3 linked regions of the Drosophila melanogaster genome follow. The protein of the gene in region 1 interacts with the protein of each later gene in a pairwise test. Each region holds a gene or a part of one and is shown on either strand. Other genes may lie near its edges.

Region 1 (8,730 bases):
GTTTTCTAACTCACCTGCACTATGCTGTTTACGGAGTAGTATTGACAGTGTTTCGGTGGTGTATATTGGCAGACGCGACTTAAATAGCATCCTTTCTGCACCTCAGGATACTCACATGCCCAAGTGCACTCATCGGTGGTTATATTGTCCCCAACTGGACGTTCCTTTGTGGTAGCAGGTGTGCTAGGAGTGACTATCATGGGTGGTGGGGGAGGAGGTGGTGCCACACTTGAAATATTCGACATGGTATTTAGTTAAATAAATAGACTAAGCGAGTTAACAGACAATAGCCACAGCTGTTTTCGCAGACAAATATTAACAGGGCTGAGTTATCGATAAGCGATATTCTGTGTTCACCTGGTTGCATCTGTTCTACAGTGGGCACAAAGTAAATTAAGCCCACATAAAAATATCAAAATAAGCTTATTTGACTTTTATTGTAAATTGTTCAAGTTTATTCTTTAAATTAAACCAAAGAGCATGAGAATTCATAAAATGAATCTTTGGAAAAAAATAAATTCGAAATATACACAATTTACATATATGTATTACCAAAAACAAGGAGCAATTTTACATGGAATACTATTCATAGTTATAGGATATATCGAGTAACGTTATAACTAAACCAAATTCACGCTCGAATGTTATGCATAAAGAAGTTTTGTGGAGCTCAGCCAATTACAATAGAGTAGCCAATTCGATGGTGCAGGAAATTATGTCTGTAAATTACATTTAAAAAGTTATTCTTTTATTAAATTTACAATCACAAGATTTTTTGTTTGTTTAGAAGATACTCTGATGTTGTATTCTCAATGTTGCTGTTCTGTTGCAAAAGCCAGCAGCGGTTGCGTGCAAAATTTGACTAATACAATGGCAAAAATAGTACTAGGGAGATAGGCGGGCGGTCGGTCAGAAACATGAATTATTAAATACGAGTACACAGAGCATACTTATTCATTGAACGGTTACTTAGGTCGTAGGAAAGTGGGTATACTGGTTAAGCCTTTGCCAGAGGCTCGTTAAGACTCAGCTGATGTTGATCTGAATCTGAACTTTGCATCCTATCAGTTAATTAATTACTATGCTGTTTTGCTGAAATTGTTTTACTTAATCATATAACACCTTCCTCTATCGTCCTTTGTGTTGCTTGCTTCTCATGTTCATTATTATGTTGGAAATATTATTTAATAATATAGATTGTGTAATTATCCATTTTGCGTTGTTGTTACATTAGCACTGACAGTTGTCAGGATTGCCAGGACGATTGTTTTGCGAGCCCAAGGTAATCTGATCGGGGAAATCGTTGATAACTTCAGCCTGTGTGAAAGTACAAAGTTCGATTTAGTATGGAAAACAATATTTAAATAGGATTTCTTACCTCCGCCTCCAACTCTAACGCATTCTTGGCTATAACTTGAAACGCCATCTCCACGTTGATGCCCTCCTTGGCGGACGTTTCGTAGTAGGGTATATCGTTCTTAGATTGGCACCATTGCTGCGCTCGACGCGTGGACACCTGGCGGTTGTCCAAATCCACCTTATTGCCCAACACAACGAAGGGGAAGTGATCGGGATCCCGTGGACTGGCCTGTATGAGGAACTCGTCGCGCCAGGAGTCGAGATTCTTGAACGAGTTGGGCGCCGTCACATCGTAGACAAGCACGCAGCAGTCGGCTCCGCGGTAAAACGCCACTCCAAGCGACTGGAAGCGTTCCTGACCAGCAGTGTCCCAGATCTGTTATTGAAATTTTGCGAGTTATGTCACTGAAATAGGATTACTGGAAGTTCATAGTGCTTACCTGCATTGTGACCACTCGGTCGTTGACCACCACCTCTTTCGTGCAGAAATCAGCTCCGATCGTGGCTTTGTATTGGTTGGAGAAGCGTTTGTTTACATACTGATTCATCAGAGAGGTCTTGCCCACACTGCTGTCGCCCAGAATGATGACTTTCAGTAGGGATTTCTTACGTCCGGACATTTCGATGCAGTTTGTGGCGTTGGCTTACTCGGGGTTATTTCTTTTGGTATTTGGTGCTGAAAACCACAGAATATTATTGATTGTGTGTTAAAAATACCATTGCGGTTTCCTCTAATTCGATTAGGAAGTGTAGGGGTGTGATGGTTTCTTTCCTAAGATAAATGAAAGTGAACTGCGCAAACCTCTAGAGTCTAAACTACATGCCAATGAAAGCCGTAATCTCTGCCAGGACCTGACTGCCTAAGTGCTCGAAGTGCAAGCCATTCGCAGCTGTAAAATGTTTGTAATGACGAGCAGTTGTGCTACGCCGTGCTGGGTGATAAACAAATCGGGTGAGTCACTCTGAGCAATCCGCAGTGTGTGATCGCTGGACTGTGTGAACAGGCGGTCAGTAGGGGAGGGAGGTGCCCGCATCGAGGCGATAAAGCGTGATCACTATTGGCGCAGCGGAGAAAGTGCGCTGAGTACAGACAAAGACGAGGTCGAGCTAATAAAGCGGGTCTGGAATACCAGGAAAAGTGCCTGGGAAAACGCCCATTTCCTCAAAGTCCTCGATGGCAGGGGGAGTCACTATGGTGCAATCGAAAATAGTGCGAAAGTGGACTCTCCAAAGGGAGATAAACTCCCCGCCCCCCTTTTTTAGACCATGAACAACTTGTTTTTGTGCTCCACCATTACAACTACGCCACTAATTGCGTCGGTGTGCGTGGGTCTTTGTTGTGTACGTTTTTCGAGTGTGCGTGTGTATGTTTGATGTGGGGCTCCACTGGCATTTTCCATGCACTTTTCGCCTGCTGCGTAACACTCTTTTTAACGCTTTGCTTTTGCTATTCGCCTAATTCCTTTTGTAGTGGCACTCACTTTGAACACTGGTGAACACTCCAAGAGCTGTTTCTTTGTGGGGCGCTTCGGTTTTACTAAAAAATATTCAATTAATTACGCAGTGAATTTTGTTGTTGTCTCGCTAGGAGAATCGCTCTCATCTCTACTGGTCAGTACTGGTTATCGATAGTGCAGTCGTGTTACAGCTATCGGTAGAAGTTGACTATCTTTAGGCTGTCGTTAGCCAACACTTTTTTGTGGCCAATTAACGAATTGTATCCTATTTTTGTTGAAATTATCACTGAAAAATATTGAACAGCCAGGAAAAACCAAAAGCTGCTAAACGGTGGTCACCTGGGCTTACATAGGAGGCTATAATCGAAATGGCCACGCTTCCGCCGCGTAAGAGTCAGACCCCTACGAGGATCTGCATCTCTAAGCAGCATCTGACGCCGCTCCAAACATTGCTCCAAATGGGGTTTCCCAGGCATAGAGCGTGAGTTTTCTATGCATAGCGTATTGGCAGTCACCAGCTGCTCTAGGTTCCATCCAAGATATAGTGGCTATGCGTGCGAGTGACCCACTATGTTGATTTGTTTCATAGAATCAGAGTATTGATTTTTTTGCTTACCCCTACACAGGGAGAAAGCTTTGGCTTCAACTGGTAATCGTGGTGTCCAGATTGCCTCGGATTGGTTGCTGGCACATGTCAACGATGGCACCCTGGACGAGTGCGCCCCCAGGGAATATATTATATATGCTTGTCCCACGGGTCCGTTTCTGCAGCAGCTGGAGGAGTTCTGGGCCAAGTCGCGCCAAATGTGCGGTTGGAATGGAGCACACAACTACGTGCCTCACATAACCCTGGTTTCGTTTTTTAAAGTGAGCTTAAGTTGGATTATCCAGACTTTATTTATTCACCTAATCGAAATTACAGGCCCCCGATGAGTGCTCGCTGCAGCTGTCCAAGGCGCTCAAACAGGTGGTGGACATGACGGGCGCCTTGTTGGATCGCCCCCTTAAACTGGAGCCCTACATGAGTCAAAACTTCATGGGTTTTTTCGTGGCCGAGGAGGATGCCAACTATCTGAAACGACTGGCCCTGCAGTACGTGAAGGAGGTGTCCAACTCAAGTACGAATTATCCTTCTGTTGGTTGCACTCTCTTTGGGTTGTTTTGGTTTACCTTTCTCACGTTCTGTTCGATTCGGTTGATGGTTTTCCATTTTTCGGAGTGGCTTACACGGTTATGTTGTTCTCCTCTCTTCCTGCACACTTCTGGATAATCTGGGATATGCTGCACAGTCATTAGCGATACCTATGAGCAGTTGGACGCCATTGTGGCCTGCTTTCCCTGGTGCGGTGCTGTCTCCTCGGGCACCCGCTGCATTCCGCGCAGCAGTCGATGTAAGCCATTAGCTAGAGCCATTAGTTTGCATAAAATCGTTTTTGATTCACCCAAAAGTACACTTTCTTATCACTCTATGCATGCTTTAGTTGCACTGGTAGATAAGTTACTAATCTAATCGCCCTTTTGGCGAAATTCAACATGACGCTGCTAATTGTAGTTAATTAGTAGTAACTGTAGATAGCAAGGTGATCGATGTTTTTGGTAGCTACATAGTTAATTTGTTTATACCCCGTTTCATTTGTTTGAAAAATATTTCAGTTTATTATTAAAACCGATTAGTGTCACTATATATACAAAAAATCTTTGATTATTAGAAGACCAGAACTGTAGTTGATAAGCCCGTGACGTTTGGTTTTGCCCAAAGATAACTTTAAGTGACTATAATTCCTTATCGAAAAACATCGATTCACCGTGTTAGATACGAAAGCATATAACCAGCACCGCCTTCATTTCCATTCAGTAATCGTTTGTTCCGCCTAGCGAAAGGCTACTAATAGCTTCTAACTACCTGTAGCCATCTCACTCGAGCCACACGTTAAGAGCCTGCACCTGACGCTTGCCTACCAGTTCCCGCAGGCACAGTTTAATGCACTGAAAGCACTCGTGGAGACCTTAGACGCCAGCTGCGCTTCCAATTGGGAACTTCGTCTATATTCCCGCGATCCTCGGCTCGCCACCAAACAAGTTAGAGCTCCTTATAATCGATCGAGGATGAGTTATAATTTTATCTTGTACTTTTCAGGTTCAAAAGGTAGTTTATCCACACAACCCGCACGAGACGGATGAACTGGAGCTCCGAATCGGCGATTACATCTATTTGAATACCGAGGTAGTAGACAGTTCCAGTGACGGTTGGGCCGAAGGCATATCTTGGTTGACCGGAAGCACCGGTCATTTGCCCGTCAATTACACCGAACGCACCGCAGAATCGGACGCCTGGACCCTGCATCGTGTGGTCCAGCTCTCCAAGAGCGTAGCTTCATCATTAACTTCCGCCGAGGACTTGGACATTGTGGACGGACGCAGTATATCAACGGAGCCCGACGATCGTCAGAGTGAGTCGTATTTTGAATACAGTGATCCTGGATTAAGTTAGTTACATTGCCTCTCTCAACAGACACAGCACATCCTGATATAATTGAAGGCTCTTCGTTTGAGGAATCCGAACAGAGCGTGGAGAAGTATTTGAGACAGACTTTGAAGCCCTGCCTGGAACTACCCTCAGTGCAATTGCTAAACAGCCACAACTTGACCCATCAGCATAACCCTAACACGCCTACGATCGAGATAACGACCAATATGTCTTCTTCCTCCACCTCCATGTCCAAGCAACCGGTGGACGAGATCTTGGTGGAACCACCGGCAGCCCAGCCTCCGCGTCCAGATGACACACTTAGTGTACACTCGGACCACTCCTTGCATCCCGGATCCCTTGACGCCTCGCATGCCAAGAACAGAAAGATCTACATTATGCGGCATGGCGAGCGAGTCGACTTTACTTTTGGAACATGGATTCCATATTGCTTCGATGAGTTTGGAAATTACATGAGGAAGGATTTAAACATGCCGAAGACGCTGCCTCGTCGGAAGAACAGTCCGGAGGGCTGGCAGAATGATTCTCCGCTGACAAATGTGGGTGTCTATCAGGCCAATCTTATTGGTCAAGCTTTGCTGGAGGCTCAAGTGCAGATCGACCATGTTTACTGTTCGCCCTCGTATCGCTGCATCCAGACTTGCACCAGTGCGCTTGAGGGGCTGAAGCTTACGGGCAAGCAAAAAATCAAACTGGAGCCGGGCCTGTTTGAGTGGATGGCCTGGTATCCGAGCGGTGTACCCGACTGGCTGACTAAGAACGAGCTGACCGAGGCCAAGTTCGACGTTGATTTGGATTATGAGCCGGTGCAGCCAGCGTCTGAGCTAACTGCTCGCCTAAAGGAGTCCACCGAGCAGTTTTATGAACGTAACCATGACGTTATCCTCCAGCTATTGGAGCAGACAAGTAAATTTATACAAATGTGGTTTTAAAAAATACTCGAATGCCAATTTTCTTTAATTCCAGCTGGAAATATTTTGGTTGTTGCCCATGCCACCACACTGGACACTTGTTCCCGTCAACTGACCGGTGGAGTTCCACGCAGCACGAACGAATTGCGCCAAGTCATCCACAAGATCCCCTACTGCAGCCTGGCAACGGTGGAACAGGTGGACGGCGTCTGGAAGCTGGTTGAACCCGAATGTCTTCCGGTGACGCACTCAAAGAATCCGCGGTTCGAGTGGAACGCCTTGTCGGCCACCTAGTGCCAGTGCTTAGAGCAGTTTCTCTGCAAGCATTGAGACTGAGACTCAACTCGATTGGGACGGACCTGGAGGTGAATCACACGCTGAAGAAACTATACGTAAATTTTTTGTTCGCTTAGCTATTTAAAGTACGTATTGATTTACTGTTTAGAAATTGGCGCCGCATTAAGTTGATTGTACTGCCATACAAATTTTAAAGTAATTTATATGTACACTTATGATGCAAACCGATGGAATGCGATTTTGCTGCGGTGTATAAACAATCCATCTATTATAATTGCACTGCTTATTGAGAAGCCAGCGCGACGGACTCATACTTTATTGCAATCAATGCGATCTATTGACTATATATATTGAATATATACATTTATACCGTATGCCAGTAATTATACTAATTGAGCGCTAGCTCGCCGCTTTAGCCATAGACTAACTTGCCCTGTTACTAGCTTAGTTGTTAGATTGTTTGATTAGCCTTGCTGCGTAACGCAGTTTTTTGTAGCCATTTATCCAAGAGGCAGACTTTTCTTAGCAACTTGTTGAGACTACTCCGTACGTAAAGCCCAAACATATATCGATATTATCGACTAGATTTAGAAGTACAAAACCATGTAACAACGCACAACATAATGGAACAATAAACAGTATACATTGAACACGTGTAATGCCAAAACATTGAGGTGTAAACTCCATTTCGCTTCCACGATCCCCAAGAGGAAAGACGGACGATAATTTTGCATTGTCTTGTGCGACTCAGAAGGGGTCGACCTTTATTTAATGCGCATAGAATTAGAATTAGTAATGTAATTGGTTTAGTTGTTAAATCTATAATATAATTGCTGAACATTTTACGTGAATTATATATCTGCATTTTGTATTGTATTGATTCGGTAATATATATCCCCATATATACGCTTGTTTAGTTTTAGTTTGTGTGTGTTTGATTTAAAAAGAAACCAGCAAGGCTGCGGCTACAACATAGATCGGTGTATCCGAATGCAATGGGTTTCAACATAGCGCTTACAATCTTTTCTGTTTTCATTATGTTTCTCATTCGAAATTGCTTACGGATCTGCCGCTTAAGTATTTGAAGCATTAAATGGTATATTTAGTAAAAGACGCTCATCTCACGCGCGTTTTTGGAGAATTTTTGAGGGCTTAAAATTGATGCTGGAGATATAATAACTCATAACTTGAATTAAGCGAGCGGCCGCCAAGCTGGGCCAAACTCAAAAGCTAGCAGCAGCAGGAGGACGACGGCCATCAGGCCTGCCCTAAGCCAGGATCATCGCCTCGCCGCCGTCCTGTCCAATTGTTAGCACTGCACCTTGCCGAACTGGGCGCGACGCTCCTGGTACTCGCGGTACTCCTTGTAGTGCATCTGGATCTCCTGCGAACGGTAGCGCGTTAGCTTTATGGACTTCCTCGTCTCCGGAGTTATGGCAGCCCGATAGCCGCCCTTCCGTAGGAGTGAGTCAATGGTCTGCAGCTGGTCCCAGCCCTGTTCGGTGGCCACCTGCGGCAAATAGGTGGCTGTGCGCTTGCAGCCGCGTTCTGTGAGGAACTCGATGCGGATGCCATGGACGCCCAGTTGCCAGTCCAGGTGGCCCTGAGCCTCCTCGAAGTTCTGCAGAATCGAGACCGAGACAGTTAGCCGTGGCAACTCATCTCTAGAGATAGGTGCAAATCTAGAGTCCTTAAAGGCGCTGGTCAAGGCGTACTCCCGAAGACCATGGTGCAGTTCCATTGCACTAAAAGTACCAATGCAGCCACGCAGCCTCTTGTCACGCCCAATCTTCCAGGTGACAAAGAGTGGGTAGGCGTCGTTGCTAAACACCGGCACCGATGGACCATCGACGTTGTTCAGCTCACAGTCAAGCACCTCGAAGCAGAACAGGCACATGTCTGGCACAGCGACGGTCTTCATGCCATGGCCGTTGGAGAACCGTTGCGGCTGGTGCACCATCTGCTGGTGCTGGTATTCCGGATCTCCGTTGCTGGAGTGCGGCTGCTGCTGCTGGTAGTTGTTGTAGTGGGAGTTGGACATGCTGTTCTGTGTCAGAACTGGTTCACTAATTACGTTAGGTAGGTATATTGAGGTTACAACTAATGGCAGTGCACGTTGATGCTCTAAGTTCAATTAACACAACAGAACAGCCCCAGTAGGAGTTGCCACAGAAACGCTGCCGCCAGTCCTCTAATCGTCTTCTGAAAATCGGTGGTG
Region 2 (8,249 bases), on another chromosome or scaffold:
CCACAAAAATGTAAGGGCGGCAGTTATTTTTGAATGTAAGACATTTTTATATGAAAAAGTTCTTCACGTGTCTATGTCTATAAAAAAAGCAAAAAACAAATATGAAAATTGTCAACTCAATCAATGCTTGAATTATATAAACTTTTCTGCATAAACTTAAAATTTAAATTTAAGGATTGACATTCAAAAATAAATAGTCGACCTTACAACATTTGTGTTAGCAAGGGGAGTTGAAAAATGTACCGAACGTATTCAGGAAGAAACTGAACATATTGAATAAATAACTTAATTAGGGCTTCGGATATAACTCTTTCTATGACTCCTCATCGGAAATGATAATCTGGTCAGCAATGACTGGCTTAGCAGACGGCATGGGATTGGGCTTTCTATGCAGATCCTGCCCATGGACAAAATTGGCGTTCAGACTAGAGACGGACATAATCTTAAGCCTGCCGTTGGGCGTGCCTTCGTCATTCTTTTTGCCAGTCTCGTCTCTCGTTATATCTATCACATCCTCCTCCTCGGCGAGCGGCAAAGCATCTCTCTTTGGTGATGTTACTGCTTCCACTTCGGAGTCGGCATCACTCACATCACTGTTGGCTTGAAAGTTATTGACAAATTCCTCAACATCGTCGTCCTCCGAGTCCGATTCCTCCTCCGAGTCATCTCCGTCATCGGCGATTTTGAAAATCCGTCCATTAGCGGCACGCTTTTTTCGAATCACATTTCCACGAGCTGCTGGACCCCTTTTTAAAGCGGCGAGAGCGGCCGCCTTAGCTGCTGCCTGAGCACTTGTACAGGGCTTGTCGTCGTCTTCCGCCAAAGCAGCCAGCTTGGCGGCCTCCTCGTCCGCTTTAACCTGCTTCAACTTTTTCTCCTTAAGCCGCGCCTCCTGACGCTCCTCCGCATTGAGATCTTGCTCGAGGGCATACCTAGAATAAATAATCCAAATATTAGATTGGAACTCTGTTTTAAGTTCAGAGCACTGCGCTGTTCTAGATATTTCCGATAAATAACAAGTGAAAACTCTTTTGAACAGCGCAGTTCTGAAATTCTCGATTTGAGCTCACTTTTCTAAGATATCACTTATTTTGGTTTGCTTTTTGTTGTTTTCCTTGAGCTTGGCTAGCAGCTCGGGATCACTGGACGCTGGATCTTTGCCATTTGCCGTGTAATGTGTGACAGTTTCGTAAAGATCATTCTTTCGGCGCGATTGCAGCATTCGACCGACTTTGTTAAAGGCATCGTAGGCTGCAAAACAATAAAATGTGTGCTCAATATTGATTTTGATACTTGAAGACCATGACGTACCGATTCTCTTCATCTCGTACTTGGCTAGTCCAAGTTCCTTTTCCTTGTTGCACTTTTCCAGTATTTGAAGCACATCGTGGTAATCGGGAAAATCTTGCATCCTGTTCACAAAAGCCGAGAGCGAGTTATTGAAGTGTGGATAGTCCGAATCCTTGAAGTGTATGGGCTTCTTTAGCTGTCTACGGACACTCTTGCTCTCGCCCTTTAGATCACAGATTTTTTCATAGATTTGGCAGGCACGCTTTTTGAAGCGCTCCAACTGAAGATAACTGGAGTCCTCGTCGTTCAAGTCCACTTCAGCTTCCTCCAACATCTTTATTCGCTTAGTAATAGCATGCAGCGTGCGATAAAAGTGGCGTATCCGCTCATCCCTACGCCTTTCTTCGCAAGAAACGGTCCCGACATTCACCAATGTCACCTCTTCTACTTCATCATCCTGCTCTCTTCCCGCCATCACAGTCTGCTGCCCCGGCGCTTTTACTATCGCTGGCTGCTTGGGTGTGGTCAATGTGGGTGGAAGTGGGAACTGGCTAGCTGGTGGAAGTGGGAACTGGCTAGCTGGCGGAATTGCTCGTACTGTGGGAAACATTTTGGTCAGCCTCCGCGATGCTAACTCATCTAACACGTACTTTAGGTGCACGTACACCAGGTACGATTCGCTTCGGATCCTCGCCATAGCCATTGTAACCAGGTTGCGAAAGCCACATGACATCACGAAGCTTTCGGGCGCACTGTAGTAATACTGGGTCAATTCTCCCTTTACAAGGCGTTCCATGTGAGTCGATTTGTCCACCTCGCGGCAAAGACGAAGAAGTGCCGCGTACTCAGTTGTAAAAGGGGCATTCACTGATGGTGCTGCCTTGGCTGCATTCTTAATTGGAGGAAAACATTCTTTCCCGCGCTTTTCTGGCGGGATATCCGGTATTTCATCTAAATCCACTATTTCTGTGACAACTAAACCGGATTTTTTCGTGGAAATCATCACTGCAGGCCTTTTTATTGCCCTGGATTGTTTATCTGTTGCCATCGGTTTGATCGACGATTTTTCCACGGTCATTGGCCCGCGCTCCGGCTCCGGCTTATCCGTGGGCGGAGTAGTGGGCGGTGATTCGACTAGAACAATTGTGGTCATCGAGGACGACTGCAATTGTACGTGCTTCTTTTGCTGCTGTTGCTCGAGATGCCTTTGCCATTCCTCGTCGGATTTCTTGAGCACGGTAATCGGCTGGATGCGCTTGGCGCTTGCAGTTGGAGACCTGTTCACTGGAGAAATGCTCGCTTCGGGCAAGGAATTCAATTTAATGGCTGCCGCCTTGGCCAGCTGCTGTTGCTGAACTGCTGCCGATGGTCCAGCGGGCGGTGGAGTTGTCGTAGGCGTCAGTTGCGGCGTAATGCTAGTGGTGGGCGGCAAGTTTAGCAATAGCGGCTCATTCAAGGCCGCGGCACAATGCGGTGGAGTGGCCAGAAGACGCTGTGGAGGTGTGGCACTCGCAGTGAATCCCTGGACATGCGTCGAAGTCATTGGTGCTTCAGATGTCTTGCGCTGTGAGCTTCTAAAGGGCAAAGTACGGGCTGCAGTCATTGTTGGGTCTGTGGGACTGACATAACTAGCCATCTGCGGCTTCATCGGGATGCAGACTTTGTTGTTTGTAGGCACCGGCGAGATCTTGGCTACCGTCATGGGTCGCACTATCGGTGGACGGTGCGCGAACGGAGGATTTTGCATGGCCGCGTTTGGCATTGTTTGCTTTTGTACTATATGAGCGGGTGGTGGCGTCTGCTGCGGAGCTATCTGTTTTGGCAGAATTTTTTGCACCGTCTGCAACATGGGAAGTCTCTGAATAGTCATCGATTTGTGCGTAATTTGATTGACAACGGGAAGCGATGGTTGCTGTGATGGAAACTGTGGGCCCATTACGGAGTTTACCAGTGGTGTCTTTGGTGATTGCTGTTGGGCCACCAGCAAAGGATTTTTCGGGAGCTGTTGTGGGCGCGGCAGGACCACCGATGTTTTCGGAAGCTGCGGTTGCATCACGATTTTCTTCTGTGGCATCTGTTGCTGTTGAAGAAGTCCAGCACTTGTTCTCTGCTGGGGCTGGGATTGAAATTGTTGCTGTTGTCCTAGGCCCGCTCCTTGCTTTTGAGCTGCTGCCTGTTGCGCTAAGGACGCTTTTGGTGGTTTTTGCTGCTGTTGGAGCTGCCCCGCGGAAGTATTTAGCTGCTGTTGTGCTTGCTGTTGGAGTTGCCCCGCTAAAGTCTTCTGTTGTTGTTGTGAATGCTCTTGGAGTTGCCCCGCTGAAATCTTCTGTTGCTGTTGTGGTTGCTGTTGGAATTGCCCCGCTGAAGTCTTCTGTTGCTGTTGAGTTTGCCGTTGCAGCTGCCCCACTAAAGGCGTCTGTTGCTGCTGTGATTGCTGTTGCAGCTGCCCCACTGAAGGCTTCTGTTGCTGCTGTGATTGCTGTTGAAGTTGCCCCACTGAAATCTTCTGTTGCTGTTGTGGTTGCTGTTGCAGCTGCGCCACTGAAGTCTTCTGTTGCTGTTGTGGTTGCTGCTGGAATTGCCCCACTGAAATCTTCTTTTGCTGTTGTGGTTGCTGTTTTACGTGCACCATTGAATTTTTCTGCTGTGATTGATGTGGCTGCTGTTGTTGGAGTTGCCCCACTGATGTTCTTTGTTGATGTTGCTGTTGTAGTTGCACCAGTGAATTGTTCAGTTGCTGCGGTAGTTTCTGCTGAGGTTGCGGTTGCCCCAACGGCACCTTTTGCTGTTGTGATTGCCCCAGGATCTTTTTCTGTTGCTGCTGTTGTTGTTGTTTCTGCTGCTGTAGTTGCCCCAGGATCTTCTGCTGTTCCTGTTGCAGTTGCCCTAGGAACGTCTTCTGTTGCTGCTGTTGCAGGTGCCCCAGAAAAATCTTCTGTTGCTCCTGTTGTAGTTTATTCAGGTACACCTTCTGTGGCTGTTGTCCCACGACAACCTTTGGTATTTGCTGAATCTGTACTCCAATCCCCGTATTCTGTTTAACAGACTGTTGTATCGATCCCACCGGTGGTTTTTGCTGCGTTAGCAATTGACCTCCAAGTGGTTTCTGGCGCGTAGGTAATGTGCCACCCAGTGGCTCCTGTGATTGCTGTATCTGTACTCCAATCGCCGTATTCTTGTTAACTGGCTGTTGTAGTGATCTCACCGGTGGTTTTGGCCGCGTAGGCAATGGGCCACCCAGTGGCTCGTCTGGCTCCGTAGGCAATGGGCCACTCAGTGGCTCGGCTGGCTTCGTAGGCAACGGCCCACGTGGTAGCTTCTCTTGCTGCGCAGGCACTGGGCATTCCAGTGGCTTCTGTTGCTTTCCAGGCAATGAGCCATTCCGTTGGTTCTGTTGCTGCTGCAATTGAATGCTCACGGGTCTAAGTGGCTGTTGCTGCTGCAACGATACCTGCTGCAATTGGCTAATAGAAGCTATATGCTGCTGCTGTCCTGCAATTAATTTCTGGTGTATTTGAAGCGTTAGAGGTTTTTGGTGTTGCGCCATTTGAGCCACTGCAGTATTGGGCTTCGGAAAACCCACTATGATGGCCTTCGGTTGCTGGGCTTGTGCCTGTTGCTGAGGCTGACCCATCCCAAGAATGGGTTGAATCTTTGCAGGCATCGCATTCGAAGCCGGTATTATTTTTGACCCGGGTGCGAGTCGAATCGGATTAAACGGCGTCACCCTCACCTGGTGGCTGGGCACGGTGGTTATCACGGCATTCGGACTGGGCGCCTTGCTGCTCACCGACCAGGCCACTTTCTGGCCGGTGCCAACATTGATCTGCTTCGGGGTCACATTTTTGTTCAAGCTGGTAGTGTTGTTGTTGTTGTTGCTCTCTGCCAGAGAAAGGTTCATGTTTCCGTTTGTGGCGAGGACGTTCTTCTGGTGCTTAGTGATGGTGATTCCACTGGGGATGTGCATGGACCGGAGTGGATCCACTATGACCGGAGTCTCCCTTGCAGGTCCTGTTTCCGCAACAGGCACTACCATCGCGGATCCCAGGGAGGCCTTTGGTATGTTCAGAAGTTTGGCAGGAAAACTTTGCCTACCGGATGGCGTTAGTAGTCGCAGCGGATCCTCGAGTCGTCGTCGTTTGGCCGGCGACTGCAAATATAATTTGAAACTTATATTACAAGTTATGTTCAATTGGTAATAAGATGAGACTACACTGCCTCTGACAATAAGACCAAAGTTTACTTATAAGTATACATAATGTTTGTTGTTTTTATCACAAGTGCATCGTCTTTGAAGCGCGTTTTATAATTAGCAACATTTATAATAGTTCCAAACTGCAGGCGACCTGTTGGTCGCTCTCAGATGTATTTTAAATTTGAATGAAAATATAAACAAACGAAAAGCGTCAGTGTATAGGTGTGCGTTCGTCGGTGTGTGCGAGAGCTTTGGAGAGTTGCGTGCGCGCGCTTTGGAGAGTTAATTTGATTTAGTGCCGTATCAGCGGAGACGACTTTCCAAACTTTACCAGGCGAATTGCGTCTTAACCAAACACTCTCCAGGAGCGGAGACTCACCGCACCCTCTCACTCGCTCATTTCCACGCCTAACGTAATTAAAGTCCGATATTCGCCAGTGCAACTGCAAGACTCGCCAGGTCTCCAATCGCTCGGTCTGGCAGCACTGTCACCGTTTTGCAACTGTATGAGTGGGGCACTGCACGTTCGTGTCTGCTCGTTCTCAATAAAAAAGCAGCGCGAAAAAAATTTAATTCCACACTATGTGTAACACGCACACATACTCATGCAGCGAGCCTATTTAAAACCAACTGTACTTTTTCACACACACACGCACTGACGAGTCCGCTGGGAAATCGGGATATTACCTCCTCATCAGACTCCGAGCTCAAATCGACGCATATCACAGACGCAGACATTATTCGCCCCGAAACGGCAATGGTCTGCACCGAATTTATTCACTTTACTCGCCGCGCGATTTACTGGCTTTTCTTCGCATTTGGACTTGCCACCGTTGTTGTCAGCTACTTTTTCACACATATGTGAACGACGCGACCGGGTTCGTTGCGAGTTCTCGGCACTAGCACTGAATACTGTATATATGTGGGAATTTTCCCACATATTTATTACGCTCGCCAACAGAGTGCACTGCGTGAGTGTTTGTTTGTACTCATGCCTCAGAATTGTCAAATTGGAGAGTCTTGGAGCTGCTAAAACATCGCTGGCTGCCACGATAGTATCGGTCGCTAGGTGCCAGCCGGTGCCAGCGATGGACACACAACTAAATATCGAAACTCCTTTTTATTAACCCTATAATGCCTGAAACCAAATGTGTACATGTCAAAAGCTAAATATGTTGGCCCATCTTAGACAAAAAAGAAACCATAAATAACCCTCTGGATAGGTAACGTGAATTCCACCAAAAATATAATTGTTAGATCTTCTTGCTAGTTTATGTATTTAATTATCGGAACATAATCTTTAGGCAGCTTTGCAGTACAGCCCAAAAATATAGATTTTCCCATGGCTCAACTTCAAATTTTAATGCTTAACAGTGCCAGTGTGACCGGTCGTCGCCAAGTGACACGACGGTTTATTTTGACGTTTCACCAACGGCCACACTGAATGACACGTCGACGTCGTCAATTCGTTCGCTTCGTTCATTCGGTTTTTGAAATTTGAGGCGTTCGCTGTGCAGTGAAAAGTGAGACTTTCTACTGTTCGCGTAGAAAGTGCAATAACCAAGCCACCCACTCAGTGCCCAGACTAGCAACACAAGTCCGGCAAAATGGGAAGTAAGTAACCGTCATCGCCAGACATCTTCCCCAAAATCGGGGAGTGCAGCGGTTTTTGTGTGAAGTGCCGCCCTTGCAATGCCGCTCGCACCCTTGTCGCTCATTGCTTACGTATACAAAAAAGATTCGGCGTGCGCCGCTCGTTGTGTCCGAAAATCGCAATTAATTAAAAATGGCCTGAGAAACGTAACTAATTCGGTTGCCTTAATTCACTATTTGCAGTCAAGTTCCTGGAAGTTATCAAACCGTTCTGCAGTATACTGCCGGAAATCGCAAAACCGGAGCGCAAGGTGTGTATAAAACCGTAATTAGATGTAATCAAAGTGTAGCTAGTTATCCCAATTGCTGCTGTACCATGTAATGTTCGAATTTTCCCAACAATTTGCGGCTTTTCTCGTCTTATACGTGTGTTTTTCCGAGCGAATCTCGCTTTGCTCTCTGCCAGTGTTGCCAGCCCACGCGTTTTGTGGTTGCTTTCACTTGTCAAAAAAGTGAACATCGCCACGCAAACAGTTTGCTCTTCATTTGGTAGTGGGCAAACGGCAGCCGAACCACCCTGATATAGAACAAACTGAGTTTTTTATGTGTCGAAATAGGAAAACACGCCTTTTGTGTCCATTTAATTCATGAAAATAATTATGCCCAACTTTAGTTTTATTTATTACTATATCGTACACCACTTGAAGTGCACATATTTTTGAGTTTTTATATGTTTCGTGGGCCTTTTCATTCATAAATCTCAGTATTTCCACCTCACTGCTGCTGCTAGTTTTCTTATCACCTGGCTACTTGTTGCCATACTCTCATTTAACACTCACACACGCACACAGACACACACCACTCTCTCGCCACTGACAAACAAACGCTACGTGGAAATGGAAATGTCAAACTTCGGCTCGCACGAAGCGCTGTCGACGTCAGCTTCGTTTGTTTTTGTTGCTCGCAGGTGATGAGCGATGACGACGACTACGGCCAAATGAAGTTTACCAGATTTTGTTTAAACAATTGACACACGTACACACATGGGAAAGCGGCCATGTAGGTCAACATAGCGGTAGCATTATTTGTGCAGCTTAGTTTCAAGGGTAAAGCGGGCTTGATCTTAAGCCGTTTATTTAAAATAAAATAATAATAATGTAGTATTTTTATA
Region 3 (4,387 bases), on another chromosome or scaffold:
AAAGTAATAAGTCGAGAACGTTTTTGTAAAAACCAAGAAAGCAACAAACTTGAAAGAGACAGACACAATACCATAAAAACTGAAGAAAGGGAATGAGGAAAGTAAATAACAACACATAAGTGAATATGTAATTGTAATTTTATGAATGAATATTGTATACACTTTAGTTTCAATAACTCTAGTTTTAAATCGAAGCCAACCAACTCTTAACTATACTCTATCCCCCACCCCCACCCCCCTATCCAAATCCCCTTATCCCCTATTATTATTGTACGCAAGGCCCATGTGCTGGAACACACGAAAACACACACAAACAAACAATTTTTAGTTCAATTGAAATTTGTATTTGTATATTTGCTAACGGAATTACGATGTAAAGAAAAAAAAAAACAAAAAATGAAATGAAATCTATGTAAACCAAATTGTAGAGAAATTATTGTTTTCATTTTAAATTGGCTGCAGCTAATCTTGATTTCGGATTTTAGCGGGATACATTTTGAATTTTAAATTTAAAACGTAACGATCGATGAAACTGAAGTTATCGATAACCAATTGCAGTCTGGCAACAACGGGCGATCGTGCATTTTCAAGTGTAACTCTGGTCGAGTTTTGGCGGTTTATTTAAAATTAGATTGGCATTATATTTTTACGTTCTGAGTTTAGGAAAATCAAAGAGTTAAGAAAAAGTCCCATTGCAATGTATATTATAAGCACAATTAAGCAACTCAGAGCTTTTATTGTTTAGATATCCAGCCTTATTTATTAGTCTATAATTTCACGAATTTCTGAAATTCCAAAAATGCGTAATTTTTCAAACAACCCGTGCACCTTGTTGCCCCAAACATTTTATATTGAAATTATCAAAGAGAAGGAAAAACAAAAAATGGTTTCAAGAACTCACGATCCATTAAATCAAGTTTAAAACACATTTAACCAACAATTTAGATGAGAAATGGAATGCGAGAAACTAGGAAAATATGATAACAAATGCAAAATAATGGAAAACGAAAACACTTTACTACGCCAACAAGTCCTACAAGCCTACATTTTAAATACATAACGATATAGTTCGATGTCTATGGATCAAAGAATACTTAAAGTAATGCAACCGGAAATAGCCCGAAATATCACAGAACGAAGAGAAAACCGGAGACAATGAATAACTAAATTAAACGCGTAGAATTTAATCACTTAATTAGTTCTAAACAAATTAAGTCCAGCTAAATATCGAAGCGATTAAACTCGTTTGATCGGAGAATCATATACACATTTATACAAACAGGCCTAATTTCAACTACCTCCAAAACTGTTTTTTAAATTAAAAATTAAATTCTAAACGAAGATCAAGTCTACGAATTATGTTTAGCGAAACTAAACGGAAACTAAGTAAATCAAATGAAATGAAACAAATCGATTAAATTATAGTAAATCAATTGATTGAATTACGATTTTTTTAAATTCAAGCAGATCGATTAATTCAATAAATCAACAATCATTGACAAGTAATTAATTTTACACTTTATATATACGATATTTATTACTATATTGTATCTGTACGTTTAGATCGAGAATACAAATGAAAGCGCACACGAGCTGCGTTTCGAAAATGCAAAACCGTCGACTGATATATATAAATATATATATAACAAAAGCTAAATAAATAAAGTAAATAACAAGAAAAGTATAGAGATTCATTTGTAAATACACCGAATGCAGGACAATGCGCTGCGGAGCATTATGTTAATGTAACCACACCCAATCCCAAACAGTTTCTCAACAACTTTTCGAAACCATCCGAGATCAAAATCATCCCATCTACCATCTCCCACTTCCCAGAAAATCGAATTTGATTTTTGATCCCTGCAGGCAAAGTGCACCCAATACTAGCGAAATTTTTTAAAGCGCATTATGCAAAACGTCTAATATACAAAAATCGGAATAAAAATCGATATATATCTAAATACATATATATATTAATTGAATACCAATTATTGTTGTTGTCTCATATAAAACGCAAAAGCATTAAAAGCAAAAAAACAAAAATGGGAAAAATGAAAGCAAATTTAAAATATATTTCCAAAATATATAGAACATAACTATGAAAACATAAAAACCGTTTTTTCTTTAAGCAACCAAATTTGTTGTCAACTGGAAACTTTTAGCTTTGATTGGCACTTGACACACATTATTGCATTTTGGGTTTGACTGATTGTACGATATGAACCCTGCAATGTTCCAGTTATCAATAAATGGTGTCGAAGTTAATGGACATAACTAACTCAAAGAAAATTCCCACCATAAATTACTCAACGGGAAGTGTTCAAGTGAATCATAAACTGTGCTTAGATTTCACCAACGATAGAAACCCACTCAATGACAACTCGCGCCATCCATTTGCATTAATGATTTGCACAAATCCCACCCAAAAAAAGGAGATTGGTCACTGCCCACACTAGTAGCAGGTCGCCTTGAAAGACGGTGAAATTCTCACGTATTTCTTATCAACCACAATGCAGACAGATTGTGGAAATAACTGAAATAAAACAGCAAATAGTAATTGCCCGTCGAGGGGGAAATGGGGGAGAACAGGTACAAGGCAAGTACAAGCGATCTAGGCGATTGTTTGAACTATTGATAAATGTTAAACATAAGCAAGGGTCGCCCCTTGGCACGCGTCCAGTGTTTCCGAGTCCGTCCAACGGTTAACAGCTCCTAAAATTATCGAATCAAGAGCGCGACTTATTAAACGCAAATTAACAGCAGCCATTAAAAGACATTCGCGAACAGCGGAAAGCAATTAGGAAATCAAATCAGCAATATGTCACAGTTGTACGAACTCTCGGAGGTGGCCCAGCAGAACGGCAAGAATGGCAAACCCTGCTGGCTGATCATCAAGGGGAACGTGTACGATGTAACCAAGTTCCTCGGCGAGCATCCTGGCGGCAGTGAAGCACTACTCGAATATGGCGGCAAGGATGCCACCAAGGCCTTCAAGCAGGCAGGCCATTCCTCCGACGCAGAAAAGGATCTAAAGAACTACAAAATCGGAGAAATCAACTCAGCTGCACCCATTCAAGTGCAGCCAACGTCCAATGGTGCAGCAAAGCCGACGGCAAACACAATATCCGAAGATCCCGAACCCGCGAAGAATAGCTCCTCCGGTTTCTGTTGCTGCTAGTCATAGGTTTACATGTCATTTGATTGATTTATTAACATAGGATGAGGTCGTAGTTAGTTTATCATAGTTAAATTGTAAATAGTTCTAGGTTTATCTCATAATAGCTACATCTTCATGTCCACAAAGCTATCTTAAAAAAGATCAACTCTTCTTAAACGATCTGAATAAATTGCAAACAAAGCCGGCGGAGCTGCTCCACCAATTTCAAAAAAATTAAACTAAATCCAAACGATGCCTAATCTTTCGGTTCGGCCTCCATGGTTGGCTCGCTGCTGGGGGCAGCCGATTGGAACGTACTGCATGCAGTGTCAAAGTAATCCGTCGTGAAACTGGTCACGTTTACCGTGTGGTTGCGCAGATAGTGATAGAATCTACTCGACTTCCGTTCCAGTCCTGCCCGTTCCTTTTCGCTGCGGCATATGGAGCGCAGGGCGGGCTCGAAGTCCAGCGATTTGGCGGAGTCGGAACGGAGAACTCCGTTGCCCAGGTGCTGGCAAATTGAAAACCTGGAAAGATTACAGAAAGTTATAAAAAATGAAAAAATTAAAGCATAACTAAAATAAGTTTGGTATCTAATTAGTGAAAAGTCTGGGCACTAATTTAATGAATAGGTGTGTTCCTAAGATAGTTATAAGATCGGTCATTTTTATGACAAGGCTATTAGAATTCCGAACGCTAAAGATATCTTGTGACTAGTTGTTATTATGACTGCTGGATGATAACAAAACCCCGGTTTCCTTTTTCCATCGATTACTGCCATGACAGCTAATTAAGTTAGCATTATTAAGCCTTAAAATGTGTTTAAAGCAAAATAGATATAGATACAGATAGATATTGTTAATAAAGATCTTTTGATATTAAAGTGTTTATATATTGGCTTAGTTAAAGAGTAACTCATCATTTTGAAAATCTTACCTCTGAACCGGCTTATCAAATAGATTGTAGGGGCACTCCTTGGTCGCGAGTCCAGTTTGGAGAGCCTGCTCCACCAGCAGGTGACCGATTTCTTCGGACAGGTGCCACTGCAAGCGATCACTGCAGTCGGAGTCCATCAACGAAGCCACCGAAATGTTGTCATAGAAGGATGCCAATGTGGCGAGCGATGAGCTGTGCCCATCGGACTTCTGCCCAGTGGCGCTGCTCAGCCAGGCCTTCTTTGGTGAGCGGGACTTCCGCTTGGCAGCGGTTCTACTTCCACCGCCCGCTGCC

The links. Proteins that work in one complex are often made in the same cells at the same time.
Region 2: the proteins of Epp (region 1) and Daxx interact in a two-hybrid assay, tested with the Drosophila melanogaster proteins (one large-scale study listed by BioGRID).
Region 3: the proteins of Epp (region 1) and CG5157 interact in a two-hybrid assay, tested with the Drosophila melanogaster proteins (one large-scale study listed by BioGRID).

The regions. Positions count from the first base shown.
Region 1 is NT_033777.3:23,987,251-23,995,980, reverse strand, and holds Epp (ecdysteroid phosphate phosphatase), read left to right. Parts: upstream 1-3,064; 5' UTR 3,065-3,184; coding exon 3,185-3,297; intron 3,298-3,442; coding exon 3,443-3,683; intron 3,684-3,738; coding exon 3,739-3,934; intron 3,935-3,944; exon of another isoform or gene 3,945-4,105; coding exon 4,106-4,207; intron 4,208-4,669; exon of another isoform or gene 4,670-4,725; coding exon 4,726-4,895; intron 4,896-4,953; coding exon 4,954-5,266; intron 5,267-5,328; coding exon 5,329-6,210; intron 6,211-6,270; coding exon 6,271-6,509; coding exon of another isoform or gene 6,510-6,545; 3' UTR 6,546-7,175; downstream 7,176-8,730. Other genes in the region: CG33108 (uncharacterized protein), read right to left, coding at 15-245; Rab7, read right to left, coding at 1,231-1,317, 1,379-1,735, 1,800-1,979; CG5902 (uncharacterized protein), read right to left, coding at 7,822-8,553. UniProt on the Drosophila melanogaster protein: Steroid phosphatase that dephosphorylates ecdysteroids such as ecdysone 22-phosphate (E22P), 3-epi-ecdysone 22-phosphate (E22P) and 3-epi-ecdysone 2-phosphate (E2P).
Region 2 is NT_033779.5:6,479,174-6,487,422, reverse strand, and holds the start of Daxx (Daxx-like protein), read right to left. Parts: upstream 6,495-8,249; 5' UTR 6,224-6,494; coding exon 6,173-6,223; intron 5,441-6,172; coding exon 1,312-5,440; intron 1,252-1,311; coding exon 1,071-1,251; intron 933-1,070; coding exon 314-932; 3' UTR 1-313. Other genes in the region: Sec61alpha (Sec61 alpha subunit), read left to right, coding at 7,093-7,099, 7,322-7,389. UniProt on the Drosophila melanogaster protein: Transcription regulator. Acts as a histone chaperone that facilitates deposition of histone H3.3. Has a role in chromatin remodeling together with asf1 and XNP. Has role in the transcriptional apoptotic response to oxidative and UV stress.
Region 3 is NT_037436.4:16,135,493-16,139,879, reverse strand, and holds CG5157 (uncharacterized protein), read left to right. Parts: upstream 1-2,000; 5' UTR 2,001-2,818; coding exon 2,819-3,178; 3' UTR 3,179-3,393; downstream 3,394-4,387. Other genes in the region: elg1 (enhanced level of genomic instability 1), read right to left, coding at 3,414-3,684, 4,094-4,387.